Schizosaccharomyces pombe: one gene and its partners. Changing the gene in region 1 together with any one later gene gives a genetic interaction. Each region holds a gene or a part of one and is shown in the gene's direction. Other genes may lie near its edges. The genes, in order: SPOM_SPBPB10D8.02C, dca7, sea2 and sqs2.

The links.
Region 2: mutations in SPOM_SPBPB10D8.02C (region 1) and dca7 together harm fitness less than expected from each alone (positive genetic interaction), as found in Schizosaccharomyces pombe (one large-scale study listed by BioGRID).
Region 3: mutations in SPOM_SPBPB10D8.02C (region 1) and sea2 together harm fitness less than expected from each alone (positive genetic interaction), as found in Schizosaccharomyces pombe (one large-scale study listed by BioGRID).
Region 4: mutations in SPOM_SPBPB10D8.02C (region 1) and sqs2 together harm fitness more than expected from each alone (negative genetic interaction), as found in Schizosaccharomyces pombe (one large-scale study listed by BioGRID).

What each region holds. Positions count from the first base shown.
Region 1 is NC_003423.3:82,078-87,977, reverse strand, and holds SPOM_SPBPB10D8.02C (arylsulfatase), read left to right. Parts: upstream 1-2,459; 5' UTR 2,460-2,546; coding exon 2,547-4,211; 3' UTR 4,212-4,749; downstream 4,750-5,900. Other genes in the region: SPOM_SPBPB10D8.01 (cysteine transporter), read right to left, coding at 5,025-5,900.
Region 2 is NC_003423.3:3,321,956-3,327,188, forward strand, and holds dca7 (WD repeat-containing protein), read left to right. Parts: upstream 1-2,047; 5' UTR 2,048-2,073; coding exon 2,074-2,316; intron 2,317-2,431; coding exon 2,432-2,665; exon of another isoform or gene 2,666-2,685; intron 2,686-2,705; coding exon 2,706-2,947; intron 2,948-2,972; exon of another isoform or gene 2,973-3,011; coding exon 3,012-3,569; intron 3,570-3,613; coding exon 3,614-3,644; 3' UTR 3,645-4,056; downstream 4,057-5,233. Other genes in the region: proteasome regulatory subunit Rpn2, read right to left, coding at 1-779, 841-886; transcriptional regulatory protein Spp41, read left to right, coding at 5,037-5,091, 5,139-5,233.
Region 3 is NC_003424.3:2,654,610-2,663,366, reverse strand, and holds sea2 (SEACAT complex subunit Sea2), read left to right. Parts: upstream 1-2,311; 5' UTR 2,312-2,782; coding exon 2,783-5,323; 3' UTR 5,324-5,537; downstream 5,538-8,757. Other genes in the region: SM22/transgelin-like actin-modulating protein Stg1, read right to left, coding at 1,042-1,566; U5 snRNP complex subunit Spp42, read right to left, coding at 5,538-8,757.
Region 4 is NC_003421.2:1,789,615-1,794,135, reverse strand, and holds sqs2 (G-patch type RNA-binding protein), read left to right. Parts: upstream 1-2,061; 5' UTR 2,062-2,226; coding exon 2,227-2,790; 3' UTR 2,791-3,325; downstream 3,326-4,521. Other genes in the region: protein Cox18, read left to right, coding at 1-370; hnt1 (adenosine 5'-monophosphoramidase), read left to right, coding at 898-1,299; CDP-diacylglycerol-serine O-phosphatidyltransferase Pps1, read right to left, coding at 3,365-3,369, 3,453-3,816, 4,100-4,331, 4,419-4,521.

The sequences.
Region 1 (5,900 bases):
CAGCGATTGGGACCTATCTTCTTGCTAATTAATTGAGATGGCAGTTTTGCCGCTAAAAAGGAACAATAAAATATTGTCATACCCTTATTGTAATCATTAGTATTCATTCCTAAATCATCCAACATGTTATCTGAAAGGGCTTGTTGAATATTGGCACGATCTAATTCTAGTGCAAAAAACATAATGAATGCCCATGAAATAATGAGCATATCTATTTTACGAACAACTTTTTGTTCCTGACCCATATCCATCTAAAAAAAGGATCGATGCGGTGTCTACTTTCATAGTAAGGACTAGGTTTGAAAGCAGCTAACGTATTAGGATCATCAAAAATGGATTTTTTTGTTGTAATGGAGTTTGGATCTAGCTTTCTCCGTTTCCAAAAAAATTTCGAAAATTCCTAGGGCTCTCCAAGTTCAAGCATATTGTCCTCATGAGCAGATTCATCATCACCTAATTTCTCAAATATAGATGCTTCATCCTTTTAATCAGTATCGTAGATAATACCATTTTGATATACTTCATGTTGCTCATCTGAGGACTCGCTTTCACTTTCAATAATGCGTTGTTGAACTAAGTTGTAATATTTCTGGTTTAATCAGCTAATGATCCACCGTATACGATTTTTCCAAGTACTATAGTTAAAAAAAGATGTCCGCTCAAATAAATATTTATATGCCTATACTAGTAGCACTTTACATGCCGCTACATTATATATAAAAGTGAACAGCCAATTAATTTTGCTTTTTAATCATTTCCAAGTCATTTAAAATTCCTTGCAATAATAAGCGTATATGGGAATGTAGTTAGCACAATTACTTGCTTCGGCTCAGACAACCTATTATTATAATACAGCTTATTTTATAATAATATTATTAGCTTTTTACCCATCGAACACAAATGAAAACATGCTAAGAAAAGGAATGTTTAAACAAAATTATTATAGTCATAATCTAGGATGCATTTACCGAGTAACAATGACAACTTAACACGTGTAAATTCTAATTTGTAATTAAAACGATTTGCTATTACTATTTAAATGTAAACCAAGTTTGAATACATCCGATATAATAATGAGTAAAAAGAAAATAGTGGGTGCTGCTCAATAAGTTTACACTTTAACATAATATCAGACCAAATCTGATAAATATGAATTTACGTAACTCTTTTGATATAATTTGAATTCACTTATAATTGCAATTGATAGTACCAAAAGTGCGTTGAAGGGAAATGATGTATGGATTGTTTGAGAATGTTACATCTTTTCTCGGATCCAACATTACGCAAAGATCCTTTCTGTACAACAACTTAATCCTTTAACTTTACAAGTTCCTACAATTGAAACAAGTTGTTTTTGTATATTGTGAATGTCTTAAGATGTTCTTTATCTGTATTTTTTAACAATTGGTCCACTATTTTTGAACTTAGGAAGTCTAATTATTGGACGGCCCTTAGTTACGGAAACAATTTACCAAGAAAAAAATCTTCAGATATATAGCATTAAGCTTTATTATGATACATCTCGATACTTTTATACTCTTCATATCTTCATATATATTACGTCCACTAATCGAGATTATTAAATTCCAATTGTAATAATTAAGTATTATTTTAATTTCAAACGAAAAGAGAATCCGAGGTCAGTTGTAAATTAATTATTACCACTTAGTATGAAAATATTCGTGTCTGATATTTCATATCAATAAGACAATACAAAGGACCAAAACGTAATTTTAATCGCAGTTTACCCCCATTAAATTGTATGAAATTCGTATCACTCAACAAATCTAGGTATAAATATGATTTTTCTCAGTTATTGTCAAAAGCAAAATGTTATTATATCTAATTTATCTCATAGAAAATATGTTGAATCTTCCACTGACATTTCTCGTTGAAAGTTCAAAATAACGAAAATCGACGTCCTTGTTAATTATCATTTGGTATCTTTTAGAAAATTAATGTTTTCTTATATGTATAAAGCTTCAAAATCTATTTAGGTTCCTTTGTAGTATATTACCGAAACCGATTTTTTCTAGAGTAAAGCATTTATTGATATAAAGATCAATTAATATAATTTGGCGAGTGTTTAAATATTTTCACATATTTTCCTTTGGGATTGATAACTCAATTAATATTTCCTTGATAAATAAAAAAAAAAAGTCAATTCCTGGTCAGTAAACTCAGTTTTGCACATATTGAGTGAGTGACAGTAATTAGTTTTAAACTTGATTTACTGAATCTTATCTCTAAAATATTCAGATAAGTAAATTACAGTTTGATCCAGTAAATTGGAATGTATGAGTATCTTTTTTAATATGGATGATGTTACTCAAAGCTTACGTGATAGCACGCCATACTTCTTCATTAGGTATTTGTAATTTTGCAATCTATTACGGAAGACAATTGTTGCAAATATATTTTTTCATATTTTAATCAACTTGTGGGCTGTCTCTTGTCTCACATGCCCTTTATGAACATAAAATAAAAATTACAGTTTGAGCTGCATAAAAATTTATTCGCAATCAAAAAAAATTTGAATAGTAACTATGGCTTTTAATAAACAAGCTGAATCTAAAAAACCAAACTTTTTGGTCATCGTAGCTGACGATCTTGGATGGTCAGATGTTTCTCCGTTTGGAAGTGAAATACACACTCCAAATATTGAGAGGCTTGCAAAGGAAGGTGTACGGTTGACAAACTTTCATACAGCCTCTGCTTGCTCGCCTACTCGATCTATGTTATTAAGCGGTACAGACAATCACATAGCAGGTTTAGGGCAAATGGCAGAGACAGTACGCAGGTTTTCGAAAGTATGGGGTGGAAAGCCTGGGTACGAAGGCTACCTAAATGATAGAGTTGCTGCATTACCAGAGATTCTACAGGAAGCGGGTTACTATACCACAATGTCTGGAAAGTGGCACCTTGGACTAACCCCAGATCGTTACCCTTCAAAGCGAGGATTTAAAGAATCTTTTGCACTTTTACCTGGAGGTGGTAATCATTTTGCATATGAACCTGGTACTAGAGAAAACCCTGCTGTACCTTTTTTACCACCATTGTATACCCACAATCATGATCCTGTTGATCACAAAAGCTTAAAAAATTTTTATTCGTCCAATTACTTTGCAGAAAAATTAATTGATCAGTTAAAAAATCGTGAAAAATCCCAGTCATTTTTTGCTTACCTCCCATTTACAGCACCTCATTGGCCGTTGCAATCACCAAAAGAATATATTAATAAATATCGTGGACGATATAGTGAAGGCCCCGATGTGTTACGAAAAAATCGCTTGCAAGCCCAAAAGGATTTGGGACTTATACCAGAAAATGTAATTCCAGCACCTGTAGATGGAATGGGAACCAAGTCATGGGACGAACTAACAACAGAAGAGAAAGAATTTTCTGCGCGAACGATGGAAGTTTATGCTGCAATGGTCGAATTATTAGATTTGAATATTGGTCGTGTTATTGACTACTTGAAAACTATTGGAGAACTTGACAACACATTTGTTATATTTATGTCAGACAACGGTGCAGAAGGGTCAGTTTTGGAAGCAATCCCGGTATTAAGCACAAAACCACCGGTTAAGTATTTTGACAATTCACTGGAAAACTTGGGTAATTATAATTCATTTATTTGGTACGGACCAAGATGGGCACAGGCTGCGACCGCTCCTTCTCGACTTAGCAAGGGTTTTATTACAGAAGGTGGTATTCGATGTCCTGCTATAATTCGCTATCCTCCATTGATCAAGCCAGACATCATCTCCGATGAGTTTGTTACGGTTATGGATATCCTGCCAACCATCCTTGAGTTAGCAGAAGTCCCTCACCCAGGGCACAAATTTCAAGGACGAGATGTTGTAATCCCCCGTGGGAAACCTTGGATTGACCATTTTGTGCATGGAAAACCCGTACACAAAGATACTGACTTTAGCGGCTGGGAACTTTTCGGGCAAAGAGCTATCAGAAAAGGAAATTATAAGGCAATATATGTACCTAAAGAAGGAATAAAAACAGAATGGGAGCTGTATGATCTTTCCCAGGACAAAGGTGAGCTTGAAAATCTAGCGAAAGTCCATCCAGATATTCTAAACGAACTCATCGAGTATTGGTTGGTCTACGAAGCTGAAACTGGAGTAGTAACAGCCCCAGACGATTTTGTTGCCGAAAACGTCGGTTTGTTCAAACCAGCTAAGCACAATCTTTAATGATTATTCATGATATTGAATTTTACAATAATTTTTTACTGTTAATGAAACACCACATAGCAGTTTATTAATGGTAAAAAACTTATTGCAAATATGGAACTCGGGTTCAGCTAATTGTTTAATTTAATGGGCTATTTCCAGTCTTTTACTTATTAAACACCACAGTTTAAAGATTATAAAATCTAATAATAGCTGATTTCATCTATCAACGTATATATGCTAAGTTACCAATTGATTCAATGTTTTTTAAATATGATAATCTACAGCGAAAATTATCAGATGGAATGCAAAGCCGAGCTGAAAAATTTAACTGGTTTGGATTTCCCCTACGTATTAGGCTTTATAATTGATATAAAAATACTTTTTTAGAACATCTCTTTTTCAATCGCAACTTTGCAGCAAAGTAAACTATGAGAAACCATTGGGGATAAAAATCGACCTCCATTTTATTTAGCAATGAATGCTAGTTCTTCTTTTCAATCTATGTAAATAGTAACTGAATAAAGCTTTCAGCAATATATACAAACAAAATTTCAAACTATTCTTCGCTAAAGACGAAGATTACTATTAAAGGTTAGGAATCCTAAAGGAAACAAAAAAACAAGTAAATAAAGCAACTGTCTTGTAGTAGTCTAAAATAAGTTAAGAGTTTACGGGCAAGTAGTTTAAAAATACAAAATTTTGCAAAAAAAAAAGCAAATAGTAGAAGGATTTTTCATGACTGTTGGGAATTTGAAATTATTTTGTAAACATTTCTCATGAATACTTCAAAAAGTTATTTTTTAAGATTTATTCCTTCGTTTAAATGGATAATTATAAGGGATAAATAAACGATAGGTTCTCCTGGTCTGTCAAATCAAGCATAGAATTTTCGTAAAAACCGGAAACGTGATTTCCAGAAGAATCAATCGTCTCAATCCAAGTCTTTTCATACTGTTCTTTATTCTGCTCAAGAAGAGCAAGGCGCTTTTTGTTCCTTCGAACAAGAATCCAGCGAATGATCAGCAATACAAAGGGAGAAACAGACCAAGCAATTACTATTTGAACAATCCAAGCAGGATAATATCTCGGGGCATCACGACTCTGCCACATTTGTGGGCCAATGATGTTGGCAATGGCATATCCAATCATAAACATAACACCACGAGTAAGCTTCTTTGTGTATCCAGCACAAGAGGCTGTTGTCCATCCAAGAGAAATAATAAAAGGGATACCAAAATTGCTTGCTATAATAATAGCTGCTAACTCCCCAATTTTATGATCCCATGACATGGCTACGCACGCAATTCCTCCGGCAATACTTGGGATATACCATATAGCTCCGTGAAAGGCACTTTGGTTTTTTATCACACTCATCATATAAGTTGCTATAATTGCGCTAACGCAATTATATCCGGCACTAGCGACGCCCACCAAGGTAGAATTCAAATCAGAAACATTCAAGCTTGTAAAAAGTAAATTTTGTTGGTAAGCTAAATTGTTGGAAAGTTGATTGCAAAAAACATGAAAAGTAAATAACCATGTCACTGGATCCTTTAACGCCTCGATTACTTGATACTTCTTGAAAGTCTTCGACTCAATACCGCTATGATTACTTCTACGTACACGGTCAACTGTGTATAATCTCTCTTTCTTGGTCAAGAATCTAGCAGTAGAAGTATTATCTGGGTAATAAAAAAAGAGTCCAAT
Region 2 (5,233 bases), 3.2 Mb from region 1:
CATCACACTATTTAAAAACTCTTGTGGAGCCGAATCTTCAAGATCAAAGGCTAATTGATACGCTGTCAATAAGCTTTTGTCATCGTTTTGAGAAGATAGTTTCATTAAAAGTTTGGCTGCAACAGAGGCATCGTTCAAATGAACAACGCATTTTCCAACTGAGAAATAATCAGGTTCTGTTTCTGTCAGAAAAGAACTTAGTAATAGACGAAGTAAGCGGTTTCGGAATTCAATGTCTAAAACAACAGTCATTGCAAGTTCCAGTACATAAGGCTTTAAATCTGTCTCTTTGTCTGCATTTAAAATGTATTCAATAATGTCAAGTCGATGAGCCTCGATAGCAATTCCCAAAACATGTCTCCATTCGTTTTTAGCATAACATTTTTGAAAAATGCCCTCGACTACGCCACTTAGTCTCTCGTCCAAGGGGTCAGCCTTTGGATTTTTGTACAACTCTGCACTTTTATGAATAAACATATCAATACATTTGAAAATTAGTGTTTCTTTGTAATCACTATTTTTGTCATGCAAAAACTTTGGACCACTTGACAAGGCAAACAAAAGAGCCTCATCATATTCTCCAAGGTAATAATAAACTTTTGAGACTACCAAGGCTGCTAATTCGCGTTCAGGAAATGAATGGTCCTCATACATAACCTCAATTTTCGTAACATCATCCGATATTTCCGGCCATAATTGATCAATAAACTCATAAATTTTTAGTAAAGCATGTACTTGTAATTCTCGCTCTTGCTCGTCCAGCAGGGCCATCAAACCACCTATCAAAAGGATTAGTGAACATGATTTCTACATTTTTTCATTGTTTAACGCTCGACGTACCTGCTGACGTTATAATAGAGGTGTTATCAGAGTACACCATAGTCATTTCGACGAAACTAGACCTGTTTATTTAAATCTTACAAACTATATAACAGCAGGTGGTGTTTCGTTGTTGGTAAATACCCTGAACCGTTGTGCTTCATTCCACCAACACATTCGGTAAGGGTAGGGCACTTGTACCAATAAATGTTTCAGGTATATTAAATGTAATGCTATATCATGTTATCCACACCACACCACCTAAATAATATTCAGTATTATCGAAAAAAGTCAAATTGTATGTTTCATCAACTATGTAAGATATCTCAACCCAATGAGGGATTTATATGAGTATCGTATCAAAATGAACGAACTAAGTAAAGCTATTCTGATCGTTCTATAATATGATTCTCATTGCCTTCTTATCATTCGCTTTTAGTATCGATAAATTTATAGTCTTTAGCTTAACAAAGTAGCTAATTTTTGTCGAATTTTTTTTTTAAAGCATTATAGTTGTTTGACTTCACAGTTATACTTTCATTAGTATTTTTTGATAGTATATATTACGCTGGGATCATTCGTTTAACTTGCAGTACGTATCAATGCCTAGTACAATATTACTTTACAAATACAATGTAATATAACAATTATCATGGTTCAGTAGCTTTGCAAATGAACTGTTTGATCAAGAAAATTTAATGTATTTCATAATTTTTCTCGAAGTCAATTCTATCAGTAATGAAATAACTAAGCCACATGGATGCGTCCAGAAATGATATCGAGGCCTTCCCATGCCACAATGTTTTTGGCTTTATTAAAACCACTGTTTTTTATTGCTGGCATGTTAATTGAATGGACATTTTTCGATGTCGTCAAACTGGAAGCAAACAGAAGCTAAAGTAACCCGAAATGTATTTTGTTAAAACATAACTATCTTAACTCTAAATAGATATAAAAAATTCTGTGTTTCACGCATACAATGATATTAATGTATATGTAATGATACCTTAACGGAAGCGCTGAGTACGGGATCAAAGGTCAATCAACAAAAAAGGGTGAAGCAATTGTACGCAGTCGCTTCTTTTAATTTACTAAAAAATTATTGAATAGGAAAAAAATTACAAATATAATAAAACAATTCTTCATTTTTGCGTTTTCGCTTTGCAGCCGGTATTCGCTGTTTGCTTTGTATTGAATATACATCATAAGTGGGGCGCTTACTTACTTTATCCCAATATCCACACTTCGCGCACAATGACAGATTTACGTAGAAATAGGTATTCAATATCTGCTGGCGTTGGAAAATCAGTACTTGATTCACTTGGCAAATTCTACGGATCGCCCAAAAGACAACTGCCTAACAAATTTGAAGCGGGAAAAGAATATACTGGATACAATGCACCGTGGATTCCATTTGCCTTGGATTGGTTAAAACAAGGAAAATATTCTAGTGAATGGATTGCTATGGGAAGTTTGAATGAAGAACCAAATAATATGGTATGCTAATTGCAAAACCAGGGGAAATATTATATAATTTTATCTGTGCTTCTTTTGGCATAGACTCCAAAGATGTACTCTGTTCTACGAAGTTACTAACCAAAAAATTGTTTAGATACAATTGTTAAAACTAATAACTGGGGATGATGGAAATTCTCACTTGGAAAAGGCGCAAGCAGCAACTGATCTTGAATACCCAGTTACGAAGTTGTTATGGAATCCTTCATCGGTTGGTTCTAACACCGACTCCCAGTTGCTAGCTTCTACGGATCAGCAATTGCGATTATGGAAAACCGATTTTGAAGCGGGGATTGATTCTCCTTTGTTATGTCAAGCCTCTTTATCTACCGTATGATTTTCTTTTTTCTTCTTGGCGACTAATGTTATAGCATGTAAAAACTCATAATAATGCTCCTCTAACTTCGTTTGATTGGTGCAAAACTGATCCTTCATATATCGTAGTGAGTAGCCTTGATACCACTTGCACAGTTTGGGACATTGTAGCCCAGCAATCAAAAACACAATTAATTGCTCACGACAAAGAAGTTTATGACGTTGCGTTTCTCAAGGACAGTATCAATGTTTTTGTTAGCGTAGGAGCTGATGGCAGCGTCCGCATGTTTGACTTGAGGTATGCGATCCACAATCGGCAATTGGATTTTTCCTTTTGACAGTAGTTTGTTAACTTTCTTTAGATCATTGGATCATTCCACGATCATATATGAGGGCGATAGCACCTTTTGGAAGAGAAACGGTGACTATACAAATGCTTCTCCTCCTGTCTCAGCTCCTTTACTTCGACTTTCTGCTTGCGATTCCGATGTTAATTTAATGGCAACTTTCCACCATAATTCTTCTGACGTCCAAATGATTGACATCCGAGTGCCGGGAACTGCTTATGCCACTTTGCGTGGACATAAGGGGGACGTGAATGCGGTTAAATGGATGCCGGGCTCTAAATCAAAATTAGCCACTTGTGGGGACGACTGTGTCGTTTCCTTATGGGATTTGGATCAGCCAGTTAATCCTTCCCCAGCTCCAACGCTGAGTGTATCTGGAACTACACCTGGTATGACGGGCTCGACTTCAGAATATGTGACACCCGTTTCGTCGGTGAATTCTATGCGTGAGACGGCTTCTCCGTTGAATGCTGATAACCAGTATTCTCCCTTACTATCTTGGAAGTTGGAACACGAAGTGAACAATCTAAGCTGGTCTGTAAAAAACGACGGATTAGCGGTTGTTTACGGAAAGTAAGCACTTTTGGAGTAAAATAAATATTAACATCTTTTTTTAGATCCCTTGAAATACTGAAGGTCCCTCAATGATCTAGATTTTGTGATTAGTGTTGTTTTACGCATTTCAATTTAAAAAAATTAAAAAAAAATTAGATTATGAATGCAAATACACTGAGGAATAAATTTCTTACGCTTTTTTCATTTGCTTAATTACTTTGTCAAGCAAAGCTAGTTAGGCATTTTATGTTGTCCTTCGTTGTCTTCTTGTTAACTATTAATAAAATTCAAAAAAGTTATGTTTGTTTTTGAGAAAATTTGGAAATAGAACCCTATGAGTTGCGTGTTGAACTATGGTTTTTTCAAATCAACTACATGTCTTTCGGAAACTTTTGGCAATTGGGTTTGCACATTCAAGCGCAATGTTTATGCAATTTCCACTTTCATTTGCGTATCTCAGCAACGCTGGAAATGTACAAAGCTCTAGGGCGATACGTGTTTTCAAATGATAAGGAGTCAAGCAACTTTTACAGAATTTTTTTAATTTAGCTTTCTACATCGATTAAAACTTTGAATAGTCTTATTCTATTATTGTTATGAAGTGAAATCTCTGTTTGTTAAATTAGTGCGGCAGGAGCTTAAAATACTTTACGTTTTTTGATTAATGAAGCAAATTTACCGCAAAATGTAACACATGTGGAATTGTAAACGATTTGATAAATCATAAATCAGAAGCCATGGCTGATTACTACAAAAAATCAGCTGCATGCTGTGAATGCGATGCATGGAACACAAAACACATTAAGCGTTACATCCATATGTGTAAATGAAAAGAGATAGGGATTACCTACTAGTAAAGAAAATATTAATGCTTTTATTATGGATTCAATTAAATAGCAATTAGTAACGATTTTGTCATAACTAACTTTGATTTGACAAGTACAGTGACACATAGATTTTTTAACTTCGTTTAACTTCGCTTGTATTAACGTAGCATGGTATATTAGCTTAAATTTACTCTTGTCGTTAGCTACCACACTAAAATAGATAGTGATGATCATAACAGCTAAGAACTGCAGTGCAGTATGAATTCGTTAAGAAGCAGTCAAGAATTCAGTCACAGAAGACTGCTTTGTGACGTTGCTTTAATACTTATAAAACGGAACTTTGGTATACAGCTGGGCAAGACTCTGTTTACAAAATCTATAGTCATGTTTCCGATAAATAAAAACGCGTAATTCCTGATTTACGCGATGTTCAAATCCTAACTGAAGTCTCCACGCGTATCTTTAATTATGTAAATGGTACATATATTAGCACACTGTATGTGCAAATGAAGATAATAAACAGTATTTTGTTACTGAACAATCCTAAATCGTGCAAACCTCCAGCAGTCTTTTCTAAATGAGGAAAGAATAAGGGACTATGGTTTATAGCGGCGAATTATGATTTATTCTAGTACTTAATGTCCGCTTGGATGAAAGAATGAAAGCTGTATATTTGGACTATTTGTTGCGCATTCGTTACACATATGTTTTTAGTGAATCTACGTTACGTTCTGGTAGACGAGTTTAACGATTCATGCAGACCTGAAGGTTTCTTATCAAAGTGAACGGAGAACATATGGAGCTACGGAGCACTTCGTTGGATGTTTGGTGCCCAAGGCTTGGAACTGCCTGGCT
Region 3 (8,757 bases), on another chromosome or scaffold:
ATTTACCTTTTTCTTTAATAAAAAAAAAAAAATCTCCCCTCCCCCCATTGCAGACGAAATTTTGTGCGCTTTTTTCTATAATACTAATTGTTGCTTGTGTTGAGCAACAATATAGCATCATGTACAAATTAGAAAATAAAAATTCGATTTGTGATAAGTTGTCGGAAGAATAAACTTTGAAAATGTACAAACGTTTTTTCCTCTATATTGACTCTTAGCGATGTGGAAATGGCAGTAGCCTTGGTTTTTTGCTACTCTAAAAGAGTTTGATTTGTTACACTTTAAATGTTTAAAAACTTATTTGTTTGATTTCTTTTAATAACACTAATGTCTAAACAAATGCAATACATGCAATTTTATTATCTACTTTGTTTCTTGCAAAACTGGTCTACCAGCATTTTCTTTTGTATACAAGCTTTAAAATTTTTATTTAATTTCTGACTTGAGTAAATTTTAAGCAAACAATTTTAACAACATCTCTAGTATTTCTGCAATTTTCAATGTACATACATTTTTTTTTTATAATATCTCACAAAACTATTTGTAAATACGTTTACCGACCTGCTTATCATTTAAGAAATTGAATACAAAAATAACAAAATAAATAAATAAAGTGTGCATTTTTATTAATCACTGATACTTCCATAACTAATTTTTGCAACATTTTTTTTTTTCTCTGCAGCTTTGTAAGGAAACGCTCATGAAACAATGAATTGTCGTATTGCTTTTTTAAGTCATTTGATACGACGAGAAATCTAGCAATACAGCACCAAACATAAGATTTTAAATGTGTTTTCAAACTACGAATCAAACTATAATTCAATTTATGTTTTAGTGTCGTAAAAAAAACATATCATTATGAATATTTAAAGCAAAACTTAAGCTTCTATATTTATACACATCTTTTACAAGACCTCACGTTTCACTCCTATTATGGATTCGGCAGATTTTACGAATGAATGAAAATAAATAAGTTATCAAAAAGTACAAGAAGCGAAGATATAAAGTTATACAATCTTCAATCTCTTTCCCTACACAAGACTAATACATATTTCCGGTCGGGTCCCTGCGTCTAGAAAATGCAATCTTCTCGGTTCCCTGTGTCGGCATATCAAAGCTTCCATACTGAAGACTATTTACGCCTTCTCGAAACTCACGCTGCTGCTGTGCTGAGAAAACACGAGGCTTCTTCTCTGCCAATTTAGGACCCAAACCACGAACTTTGCCGGGAAACATTTTCGCGGCATAGCGCGAAAAGGAGTGAATACTTCTTAAAACCTGTTCATCATTTCTCCGCTCAAATAAATCAGAAGTTTGAAACATATCTTGTGAAGGAACATGTACAACTTGCTGTGCATAGTTAATGAAGGCAGATATGTTTTCCATTTGGACAAAAGGCATGTTAGATTCTTTGTATCGAATGTTAGCGCCTAAAGCTTCTTTGCAAATTCTGCAAAGAATCACCCCGGATTGTAATTGATCCAGTAAGTCTAACTGAGCATTCAATTTCGTATGCAAAGTTTCTTCGATCCATTCTCTTGCTTCTTTTTCAAGTTGAGACGTCATTTCTCACGAAAATTTAAATAAAAATAAAGAAAAGTTCCAAGAAATTATATCACGGAACGCCCAATGACAGTTTGGTTTTTCAGAGGTGGTTAGTGAAAAGCGGCTTCGTATAAGCCTGACGAGTGCCATCTTAATTCAATGTGTAGCAACTGGACTTAATAGATCATTTAGCGTAACTCCAGCTACGCAATTCGTATCTGAGTTTAAGGTACAGTAGACTGCGTAAACTCTTTATCAGCAAACTAACTCTTGTACGGTAAACTGATGATTTGTTCTTACTAATTAGTACTATATAAAGTAGAGTCGAATTACTTTGCTTCACAATTCGTTTATGGAATGAAGACTTGTTTATTTAATTTCGAAAGCATCATTATATTACAAAATACAAACCGACAAGGTACTGCAAACCGCTTTTTCGATTGACACTGTGCAACTGACATTGGACTGACCGGCTTTGCTTACTTATATCGTCATATATAACATGTTATCTTCATATTTAATATTGTAGCTACTATAACTCTACGAAAGAAGCATTGAAAGATAAGCTCAACAGTACCATTCTTTAAATGTTGTAAATCAGCGTAAACGAAATTTTAAATCATAAGTCATGTATACGCGACAAATGCCATAGTAAAATGTGAAACCTATATAATGAACTCTACAGGAATGCAGTATAGCGTTACAGGATGCAATATTGCTGATTCATAGCGAGATTCAGAAGTAAATTCACAAAACCAAACTTACTAGAAGCAATAAGCAACTGAACTTCGTAAAAATAAATTATATTTGAACTTTTATTCTTTTGAAAACTTCCGATGTGTAATTGTTCTGATTGAATTTCCTCAATAATTGAAAATTCGAAAGCTCTTATTTGTTCACTAACATTGGACTTGATATTTACATTAGCAGAAACTTTTCTTACTGTTAGTTGCTCCTCTACTTTTCTACTTTATCTTTTTGGTTAATGTATCAAAACAAATAGTTTGATAAAGAATAGTCTACTTTTTTCTGACTTTTACTATTGAACGATCTTGCAACGTTAATTTTACCAATGTACGGTGAGTGTCACCATACTTGCATTTCACTTCAGCAATTTCTTTGACTTCCTGTCCGATATTTAAGAACTTGTTTCCTTTTCTGTATGCAAATTTCCTAAATCATTTTAGAAGGCATCAGCTGCTACTCTACCAGCTTCATTTTGTTTTCAAATTCGTAAATGCCTTCACGAAACTCAAACGTCCTTCAGCGACCTACTTATGCCCAACTTGCTAGCACATCTGTAAAGTCATCCAAAGGACTTGTTAGTTACCAAGACTGGGTTGTTGATGTAAAGGCCTCCATCAGTGCTATTTCGGTAAATAAAAGCCGTACAAAAGTGGGTGTAGCAGGCCGAGAGCTTCTAAAAGTTCTAGCTGTTAATCCAAACTCTTCAAAGCCTCCTGTTTGCATCTCTGACCTTCTACAAAAATCAACACAAACAAAGCACATCTCTTGCAATGATGTAAAGTGGGGTAGTAGTTTTGCTTCAAATTTAATTTTTACATGTTCACCGCTTGGTAATCTCAATGTATGGGATGTTAATTTAGAAGCCCTTCTCTATGACTTTAATGAGCATTCTCGAGCCGTACATAAATTGGATATCTCTTCATTTCACCCGTCTTACGTTTTAACAGCCTCTCAGGATGGGTTAATTAAGCTTTGGGATTACAAGGAAAGCTCATCAACAATCACTTTTCGTGGAAATTCTGAAGCTGCTCGAGACGTCGTATTCTCCCCTTCTGAGCCAAATGAGTTCGTTGCCGCTTATGACAGTGGGATCTTGCAAAAATGGGATATCCGGTTTCCAAAACTTCCTTTTTTAAAATTAGCTGCACATAATGGTGTTGTTTTGTGTGTTAATTATAGTCCTAATGGTGTTTTTTTAGCGTCATGCGGGAGAGATAAGACTATTCGTATTTGGGATTCCACAAGCAACAAAAAAAAGTCCCTTATAACTATCAATAATGTCAGTCCCCTCAATTGTGTTCGTTGGCGACCGGCTAATCAGCAATCGAGAGGTTCTAATCAACTTGCAAGCTCTTCTCTTGTAGGTGATACCGCAATAAATGTTTGGGATATTACTAGGCCTTATATCCCATACAGAACCGTCAGTTGTCATGATAGTATTGTTTCAACGATGCATTGGGCTTCTACAGAGCTACTCTGGTCTTGTAGTAAAGATGGAATTTTTTCTCAGACGAGAGTTGAAAATGCCTTTAATTGTATTGATATGCTTCCACGTGCAACTAGTTCATGGTCAACTAAAAATAGCCTTGTGTTCTCTTCAAATCCTATTTCTAATCAAAGATTGTCGTCGTTAAATCGTGTCGCATCTTTTGAGAGCAATATCAGCTCTTTAAAGTCCGCTTTATATGCCTCTCAAAATTCTGATGGGTCCACAAGTAATCCTGTTCCTTTTGTGCCTCACAATTTTGTTGGCATTCCTCAGGAACTAGGGATCCTTGCATATCGCTCTGAAGATGTTGCTCAATTTTGCTATTTAGCCAAAAATTATCGCATATCAGGAGATATCTCTTCTGCTTGTAAAGAGAACGCATTTTTTGCACGAAATGTTGGAGCTGAATTTGCTTATCAAATTTGGGATGCTTTGTATTTTTCACTAGGGGTACTTAACAATTCTGATAAAGGAATTAGTGAATTAATAAATATTCCTTTTGTTTCTGCTAACAATTCTATGGCTGATGATGAGAAAGGTCGAAATTTAAAAAATTTAACGCAAATTTCAACGTCCTCAACCCCCGCTCATGATAATTTATCATTAAATGATTTTTTTGAACCACGGGAAGCATCTACTCCTTCAGAATCCTCTAATTCATCTATCGAATCCGAGGACAATCTCGATAAAGCCGTCCTTAATAAGCAATCGCAATGGCATGATTTAGAAAATCCGATCGTATTAAAGAAAGGACAAGCACCGGTTAATAATTTTTCAACTGATAGCCGGGCAAGCATCAATTCATCCTATTTACTAGATTCTGCAGCATCAAATTATTCTGGTACGTCACATAACGAAATGTTCAATTCATTCCACAGAAGTTCTGTTACATCTGCTTCAATCAAATCGAGAGAAGCCGTATTGAGTGCTGGTAATTCTTCACGTCGAGCATCTATATTTTTAGACCAGTTATCATTACATGGAGATACTGATTCTGAAATTCCTATCGATGATCTACCTCCTATTGAACTTCCTTATGTTGTTACATCGATTATAAGCGACTGTATATCTCGAGGAGATGTCCAAACGGCAGCCTGCGTTTGTTCAGTTTTTTCATACCTAACTATAGATTTACCACGGATTCAATTAGACGATTTACTTGAAAGTTATGTTGATTTGTTAAGGAGATTCGGAATGTTCAGTGAAGCTACTCTCCTTATAAACATGTCTGGTTCAAAAAATCTCAAGTACATTCATTCAAGTAGTAGAGATTTGATTTTTGAAATGGAAAACAAAAAAGCAACCGGTAACGAGCAATCCGAAAAAGGTAAAGAAAATGCAAAGACCGTTACTAGTCTCAAAAAATGTGTTTATTGTGAGCTACCGTTAAGAGGCGTGCTCGTTTATCCTCCCGTTTGTGGCCACATCGGTCATGAAAGCTGTCTACGTTCTTGGTATTTTGATAATACAGACGATGCATTGCCAGTATGTCCAGTTCCCGGCTGCGGTGTCAAACTGCTAGATAAACGTGCTCTGATTTAAAAAACTATAATCTAACGCATATGTACTTGATGAAAAATTTGTATTACTATAAACTAATAATGATAATGTGGGATATTTTAAAAACCCATTTTTCTAGCTTTTTCACTAAATTCCATTTAACTAAAGCAAGATGTCATAAAGCACTCAAATTAGCAAAAATCAAAATATACATTAATTGCCCAAAATCCAGTTACGAAAATAAATAGCTCCTCATTCATGCAAATGCATCTGGCATATCTTCCTCTAATCTGTCATTCGTCTCCAGTTCAGTATAGCTTATTACATGAGTAGGTCTATGCTCTAAAGCAAAGAATGGCAGAGGGACATCAAGTTTTAAACTGTACGTCATTTTAGGACTGAAGCTTGCACCATTGAAATTATAATTCCATACGCCCTCTTCTGGTACCAAGAAAAATCCTTGAATTCTATCGGACAATAGCAGCTGACATTTTTCAGCCATAGAAGGTTCATACCCGATAGCTTCATCACTGTTGATATCCATGTTTTTTGATCCCCACTCAATTCCTTCCTTTGACACAGTATATGCAGCTAAGGATATCGAACCAGGAATGTAGCTCACTGTCAAAGTTACAGCTTTGGTATCCCATTCAGGATGAGAAGATAAAATTTTTGCATGTGTAGTTACATCGACAGATGATAAATAGGGAAGTTCAGAACTTTGAGTGTGTATCCAACCAAGGGGCTCAAGGTCTTCTAATATAGAAGGCTGAAGATCATGAGGCAGTTTAGAAGGAAGCTGCACATTTCTTATACTGCCAAGCTGTGGTACAAGTGCAATACAACGAATTTCCTTAATTTGAGGGTTGTCTGACGGACTTTTACCATACATATATCCGGCAACCTGTGTCCTTAAATCGGATATCGTAACAAACTTACGAAGCAGATTTTGAGGAAGAATGTATGTATAAGGAAAAGTTTCGCTGATATTATCAGAGTTAACATAAATGTTTTTTGTACGAAGGGGTAAACTGATAGATGATATGGCACGATTTCTCCATTCTGTTTTACTAGAAAACTTTTCATTTTCATACGCAGATGTTGTAGTAACCACCATTTCATCACCATGCACGTTAGTAGTTTTTGTGGTGACAGCCGTAACTTGGGCATTCTCACGGCCTTGCTTTTCTATTTCAGCTATCTGTTGACGTTGAAGAGAAGGAGCCGTTATTGTCATACCGAGAATAATATCTCGCACTTCCGAGTTCGTAAGACTAGCAACGTTAATATTGTTTTTCTTAGCATAATCAGCAAGGATCAAATCTCTAAGTTTCGGTTCAACATCAAGCCATTGTTGATCATCCAGGTTGGGCCACACGTGATTCTCTTTTGTAATTATAGACTTGTCTGGTCTAAGAATTAGCTTCGTTTTCTCAGTATTGACATTCAATGCGCGCAAGATAAGTATCAAGCGTGAAAAAGCTGTATACGATGATACCGATTGAAGCCAGTCATCATATAAATTGAAAAGTACCATTTGCGGTTCGGTGGCACGTAAAATCAAATCATTGATTTTATCAAGTTTAATAATCGCTTGGAAAGGAAGCTGTAATTCACTACCCTTAATGGTTATATTAGGAAAGTCCAAAAGATGAACTTCTAATGGATCCAACATGCCCTTTCGAGTTACTATAATCTGTCGAGGTTGTTCTTCAACAGGCAGAGAACGAATCAAAGCAGCAACTTCTTCAGCAGTCTTCCATTTCGCCAATTGTCCCAATCGTTTTTGTCCCGCCCAAACTGACGTATGAATAACTTTTAAGAACAATTGACCAGTTCTCGGATTGAATATAAAAATAGCACCATTAATGGGTTTCGTAGTCAAATTACCTTCAAATGTTTTATGAATGGTAACCCGATAAACATTAGTATCATCAACGAATAATTGAATTTGATTACTAAAGAGTTCAGCATAATTTGAGGAGGACAAATACTGCTCTTGGGGTTCAGAAGCATATAATTGAAGACCTTTTCGTATGCGTTCACGCAACACATATAAGGCTGGATTGGCTTTCATGATCTTGTTCATGCTCTGTTGAATTAATGGTTTCATACCAGGAATCCAGTTACCATATGCACTATGCATATTGTAACAAAGATCAATGCCGATTAAGACACCGGTCGGTGAAGGATACATGCTTTGAGCATCAGTGCTATAATCCAAAAATTTAGCTCTAGTATAACGTTCAATATCATGAGAATCATAATCTCCAAATCGAAGTTGTACATCAATCCAATATTTGTTGGTGGTAGTGTTGTCAAGCACATCGCGATTATCGTTCAATAAGGATGGCCTTGATACGTTCCATTTATAGGCAGCCAAAAGGAGGATATCTGCACAAGAACTATTCATTTTATAACTTTTACGAGGATGGATAGTTTCTTTTTGGACTGTTTCAATTTGCAATGACTCTAATTCTTGGTCAAGCACTTGACACAAATCCCAAACAACAGATTCATGAATTTTTTGCCATAAATGAGAACGAAAAATTTGAATGAGTGAAATCTTCAGGGTTGGAATTTTGCCATGCATCATGATTCCAGTCAAATCCAGTTGTACTTGAAATCCGACATAAACGTTAGCACGATTGATAGTGGGACTCCACCAAAGCGTAAATCTACGGTTAGGGATTTGATTTAAACCTGAACGCTGAGCATTAGTAAGCTTTTTGAACTTCATGGATTCTTCAAAACCAGATGCTTTTTCCCAAAAAAGACCTTCCCATGAAGGAAATCCAGTAGCTTTAAACATCGTATGCTCCAAAATACCTTCGACACCACCTAAAGCCTGAATGACATCTACTCGGTAATTATTTAATTGCCATAATTTTCCATCATGTCTTTGACTCGTCCACCAGAATGGATTGTTTTTAAGGAGCTGGTACTGCTTAAACTCAGTCCTAACACGCCATCCTTTATCATATGCCAATGTGTGTCTATCTTTTTGAAATAGAGTATTTATACGAGGAATTCCTCGATCCCATGAATCTTCCAGATCCTCTAAAGTTAAACGACGATTTTGTTGTAGAGCTTCTTGTCTCTTCATTGCATACTCAGCCCATACACGCTGAGAGTCAATAAACTCTGATTCCCATGGCTGAATATAACGATAAAGGTTTGGAATCAAATGTTCTCCATTGGTAGTCATTCCACTTCGAAAATGAGTAATACCAGTATCAGTTTGTTTCGACCATCTAAGATCAGATTGTGGAATAAGTACATGACCCATTGAAAGCATTCCTAATCCACCAAGTTCTTTAGGCGAGTAGAAAACGGCTGGAGGAAAGCGACTAGGCATTTTAGAATTTAATGAAATTTTTACTCGAGTTTGTATTTTCGATTCACATTTAACAAGTAAATCTAGAAGCTCGGGCGTAGAAATCGCGGCTTCCCTATAATAAGTCATGAGAGCTATT
Region 4 (4,521 bases), on another chromosome or scaffold:
CATGATTTACGCATTGCCTATTACTCAACTACCTTTATTCGCGTTTGCATCTTATCAGTTAAGACAGGCAGTCGATGTATGTCCCGAGAGTATGTCAACAGAGGGTATGCTTTGGTTTACCGATCTCACATTACCAGATCCTCACGGTGTACTACCTGCGGTCCTTGCTGTTACTTATTTAACAAACATGTCTATATTGAAGCGACCTTCGGATTCTCGATTGCTGAAAATATTCAATACCGCTGGTATAATGTCTGCTTTCTTTGTATCTTTTATGGCATTTAAGACTTCTACGGCATTGTCTTTATACTGGACTACCTCTGCAATTTACTCTTTGGTACAAAACGTTGCATTGAGAAAGCTGTTATAGAAGAGCAAGAGTAATTCTACATGTTTGGTTCTGAAAGGTCTTAACAAAATCAAACCTGACTAGTCGAGACTCACATATTATTCCTTCTTTCTTTCCGTACATAATTACCTACATTCTTATGGTAAAGCTAGGTTTTTGATTTGTTATGGCCTACCAAAAGGAAAATCTTTTGTCACAAAACATCTGATCATGGCAAAAACTGACTGAATTAGTAATGAAAAATAAGATACTTTATTATTAAAATGCCAAATAATATTTAATAAATATCATTAGTATTACAGGCTTGTTCGTGTGACATGAGTTTGGCATTTCAAGGATGACTACCTGCAAAGCTTTTTGAGAAATGCAACCTCGCCGATTACTCCATTTTTAAGGAAGAATTTAACTATTGATTTCATGTAAGTCGTTTTTAAAATTTACATTTTTTTTAAAAACATTTGACTTATTCACACTGTTTATTACGTTAACTACGGTAAATTTCGATAATTTTCCCACTTGCACATCCTTGACTTAAGCTAACCACCACTATGAGCTGCATATTTTGTAAAATTGTTAAAGGAGATATTCCTTGTGTGAAACTAGCTGAAACAGCCTTGTCTTTGGCTTTCCTTGATATTGCTCCTACATCTAAGGGACATGCACTAGTTATTCCCAAGGAGCACGCCGCTAAGATGCATGAACTGAGCGATGAGTCTTGTGCAGATATTCTTCCCCTTGTCAAAAAGGTGACAAAGGCTATTGGTCCTGAAAATTACAATGTACTTCAAAACAATGGTCGCATTGCTCACCAATTTGTGGATCATGTTCATTTCCATATCATTCCCAAGCCTAACGAAGAATATGGATTAGGAGTAGGCTGGCCCTCTTATCCTATTTCTCCTGAAGAAATAAAGGCATTGGGCGAGGAAATCAGCTCTAAGATTAAATAGTTTTTTTTTGTTCTGTGTGTCTCGTTGAATCGAAACTTTCCTTGACTTGGCGAGAACTATAAGGAAAACATGAGCCCTGTCTTTGTAGAATAGGCTTGTGTTTTTCATGAAAGTCGTTATTGGGTGTTGTTTGACGTTTATGTTTTTTAGAAATGAAAAGTTTGTTTTATACACTTTTACCTACTTGTTTTACCTTTCCAATGTAAGTAGTTGCTGTTATCTTTGCATAGTTTAAGGTGAATAAAGGGATTTTGTTTAGTAGTGTGCATACGGAATGTATGGTACAAATGTTTGGACCTGTTATTCTAGTGATTAGAAAAGGTGTGTTTGAAGAACATTGTTCAAATTGTAGTCTAAGGTCTAAATATTAATCCATGCAGGGTAGTTGGTTTCCTAATATGAGGTTATGAAACTTGCAGACGGAAAGATTAGTAAATGTGCATCAGAGAATGTTTATTTCCAGTATCATATTATTTTATTGATGACCTAGCTTGTTTTTTTTCTTTTAAGAAAATGAAAGACATCTTGCGGCGTCAACTTAAAACTTGATTGTTTGAAGAAATTTTTGCCGGACAGCATTGAAGAATTCTAGTATTTTTAACATGCAAAATTATATTTGAGCCTTTCTATCAGGGTATTGCTAATAATTGATCAAAACCACTGCGATAGTATTTACTTACCCAAAGTAACAATTATTCATCAACCAAGTCACACTTGGTTTATAGTAGCAAGCTATACTGCACGAACAAAACTTTTATAATTGAGAGCGAATTTGTGGAATAGTCAGGCTTGATTTTAATAAATCCCTATTATTATCCTTGATCTCATAAAATTTAAGTTTCTTGGGTTGTGCATTCTTTATAGCACCAATGCCAACTCAGGCTGGTTTTTGTAAATTTGCTGAATTTTCGAACATTTATTAATACAATGGCAATTATTGTGGAAGACGGTTCTTTTATTACATCTTCTCAATGGGAAAATGTAGAGGCATCTCCAAAACCTCCTCCAAGGAAGCCAAAGATTGTTCAACCAAAAAAGAAGCCATCGAAGCACTTGAGCAATGAGGATGCTTTAGAAAAATATGAAATGCTGTTTGGTGAAAGGAGAAAAGAAGTGGAACTAGATTATATGAGCCACATTGCGGAAGAAGAGACTTCGTTGAGCATGATTGAGTATGATCGTCATTTTGCACTTCAAACTGACGTGAAATTGTCAAAGAAAAGAAAATCCAAACTTGTTGAAATGACTCCTAAAGGTTTGAAAAAAAGGAAACGCGTGCAAATACAGGAAGGAAGTGTGTCAACCAATACAAAAAAGCGTATGGACGGTCATGTTGTTGGTTCTAGCGCTCCCGCTATAAATAATGGCAAAGGAAAACAACTTTTAGAAATGATGGGTTGGTCTCGGGGGAAGGGACTTGGTTCTGAAAACCAAGGAATGGTTGATCCGGTTGTGGCTGTTGTAAAAAATAATAAACAGGGTCTTCATTAGTTTTTGACGAGGAGATTTTAAATCCTCATAGTGTATATTTACAAAACATTATTTATTTAGAAGGAAAAATTACTTTTCACCATCATTTTGGGAAAGTTTCTTTTTTATAAAGAATTTTATTTTTGGTTGCTCATCATGATGACTATATAAGAAATAATAATTAAAGGAATTTTACTATATTTTACCGTTGAGGGTACAATCACTTGAAATAATTCAATTTCATAAGTTTTTCATAAAGAGAGCAATAGAAAACTGGTAAGTTGAAAAACAGCTTCTAATTGTTAAAAGGACGGAAATACATATTTGGAAAAGGGGGAAGGAATGAACAATGATGAGTGCATTTACGTTAAAAATGGTTAAGTCGAATAGGTGAAGGACAGACTTATCTTCGAAATGGAAGAAAAAAGGAAAAACAGGATATGAGAAGAGATTCAGTAAGGATTATAAATTTAAGAGAGGAAAAGGCTTCGCATGCGAGTAACATCAAAAGCAAAAAGTGAAAAAAACTGTGTATACCCAGATCGCTGTACTGTAAAGTTTCATTTGGATTCTATTGAATAAAAGCATCAGTTGATCAAACTAAAAAATCGATCAGTTAATATAAACAAAATAAAAAAAAAGAGCATTCTAAACATATTTGAGCGAATGTAATAGAAACGTACTTTTTGGAACTTTGAGTTTCTTACTAGTCATAGCAATTCCACTCAACACAAACAAAACCACAAGCGGGTGAAATGCAAAAGGTGTGTTTCCACACCACTCACCCCAAGGTAGATTTTCATGAGTCTTTCCCTTTAAGATACAAACTCCGCAAACGGTTACTAAGGAGAGGGTGGTAGGAATGGGCGTTCCTTCGAAAAACTGAGACTTGCCAGATCCATCTTTAGGAATGGAATTGACAGAAACATTAAAACGAGCCAATCTAGTTAGACCACACAAAACAAAAAGGGAAAGTATAACGGTATCAAGGAACGTTTGGAATCCACAACAAAAGGCAAAGACGGCTGGAGATACGCCAAATGAAATCTATTTTGTTAGTATAATGATATAAAAAGACCGGATAAGAGAGAGAAAAAATATATATAATCAAGAATTATACGCAATCGCATGTTTATTGAGAAAAATTCAGACTCATTGAACAAACCGACATAATGTAAAAAACGAGAAGCAAAAAAAAAAAGCTCGACTTAGCTAAAATGAAGAAAAAATTCAACCAAAGAAGCCTCTTATCATGTTCCTCGTGTTTTTATCATGTCAAAGCAACCAATGTGAAAATAGTCTCGGAACAGATTTGAGAAGTTATACATACCAGATCAGCAAGACTATCCAATTCCTGACCCATTAAGGAAGATTTCCCACGCCAACGAGCCACTTTACCATCCAAAAAGTCAAAAAACAACGCAAATGGCATAAAGTACATTGCATTCCATAAATGGAAAGCTGATTGCTGTCCGCTTAGGCAGTAACGTAAACTTGAAAATATACTCATGACACCGCAAAACCCGTTCATTAAAGTAATCAAGTCTGCAAGGTGGAGGGCTCTACAATCCTCTAGTTAGTATTTCAAGTAATGAATCCTTTTGCAAAGTCCTTTCGCAATGGTGTAAACAAGAATACGTAAATCATACCTAATGAGTGAAAAATGTCTATTATCATTTACGTAGGCCAGTAACTTGTTCTCTTTATCATTGCTTTGGTTTGATGCATCGGATTGTAATTTCAATCCAGGAG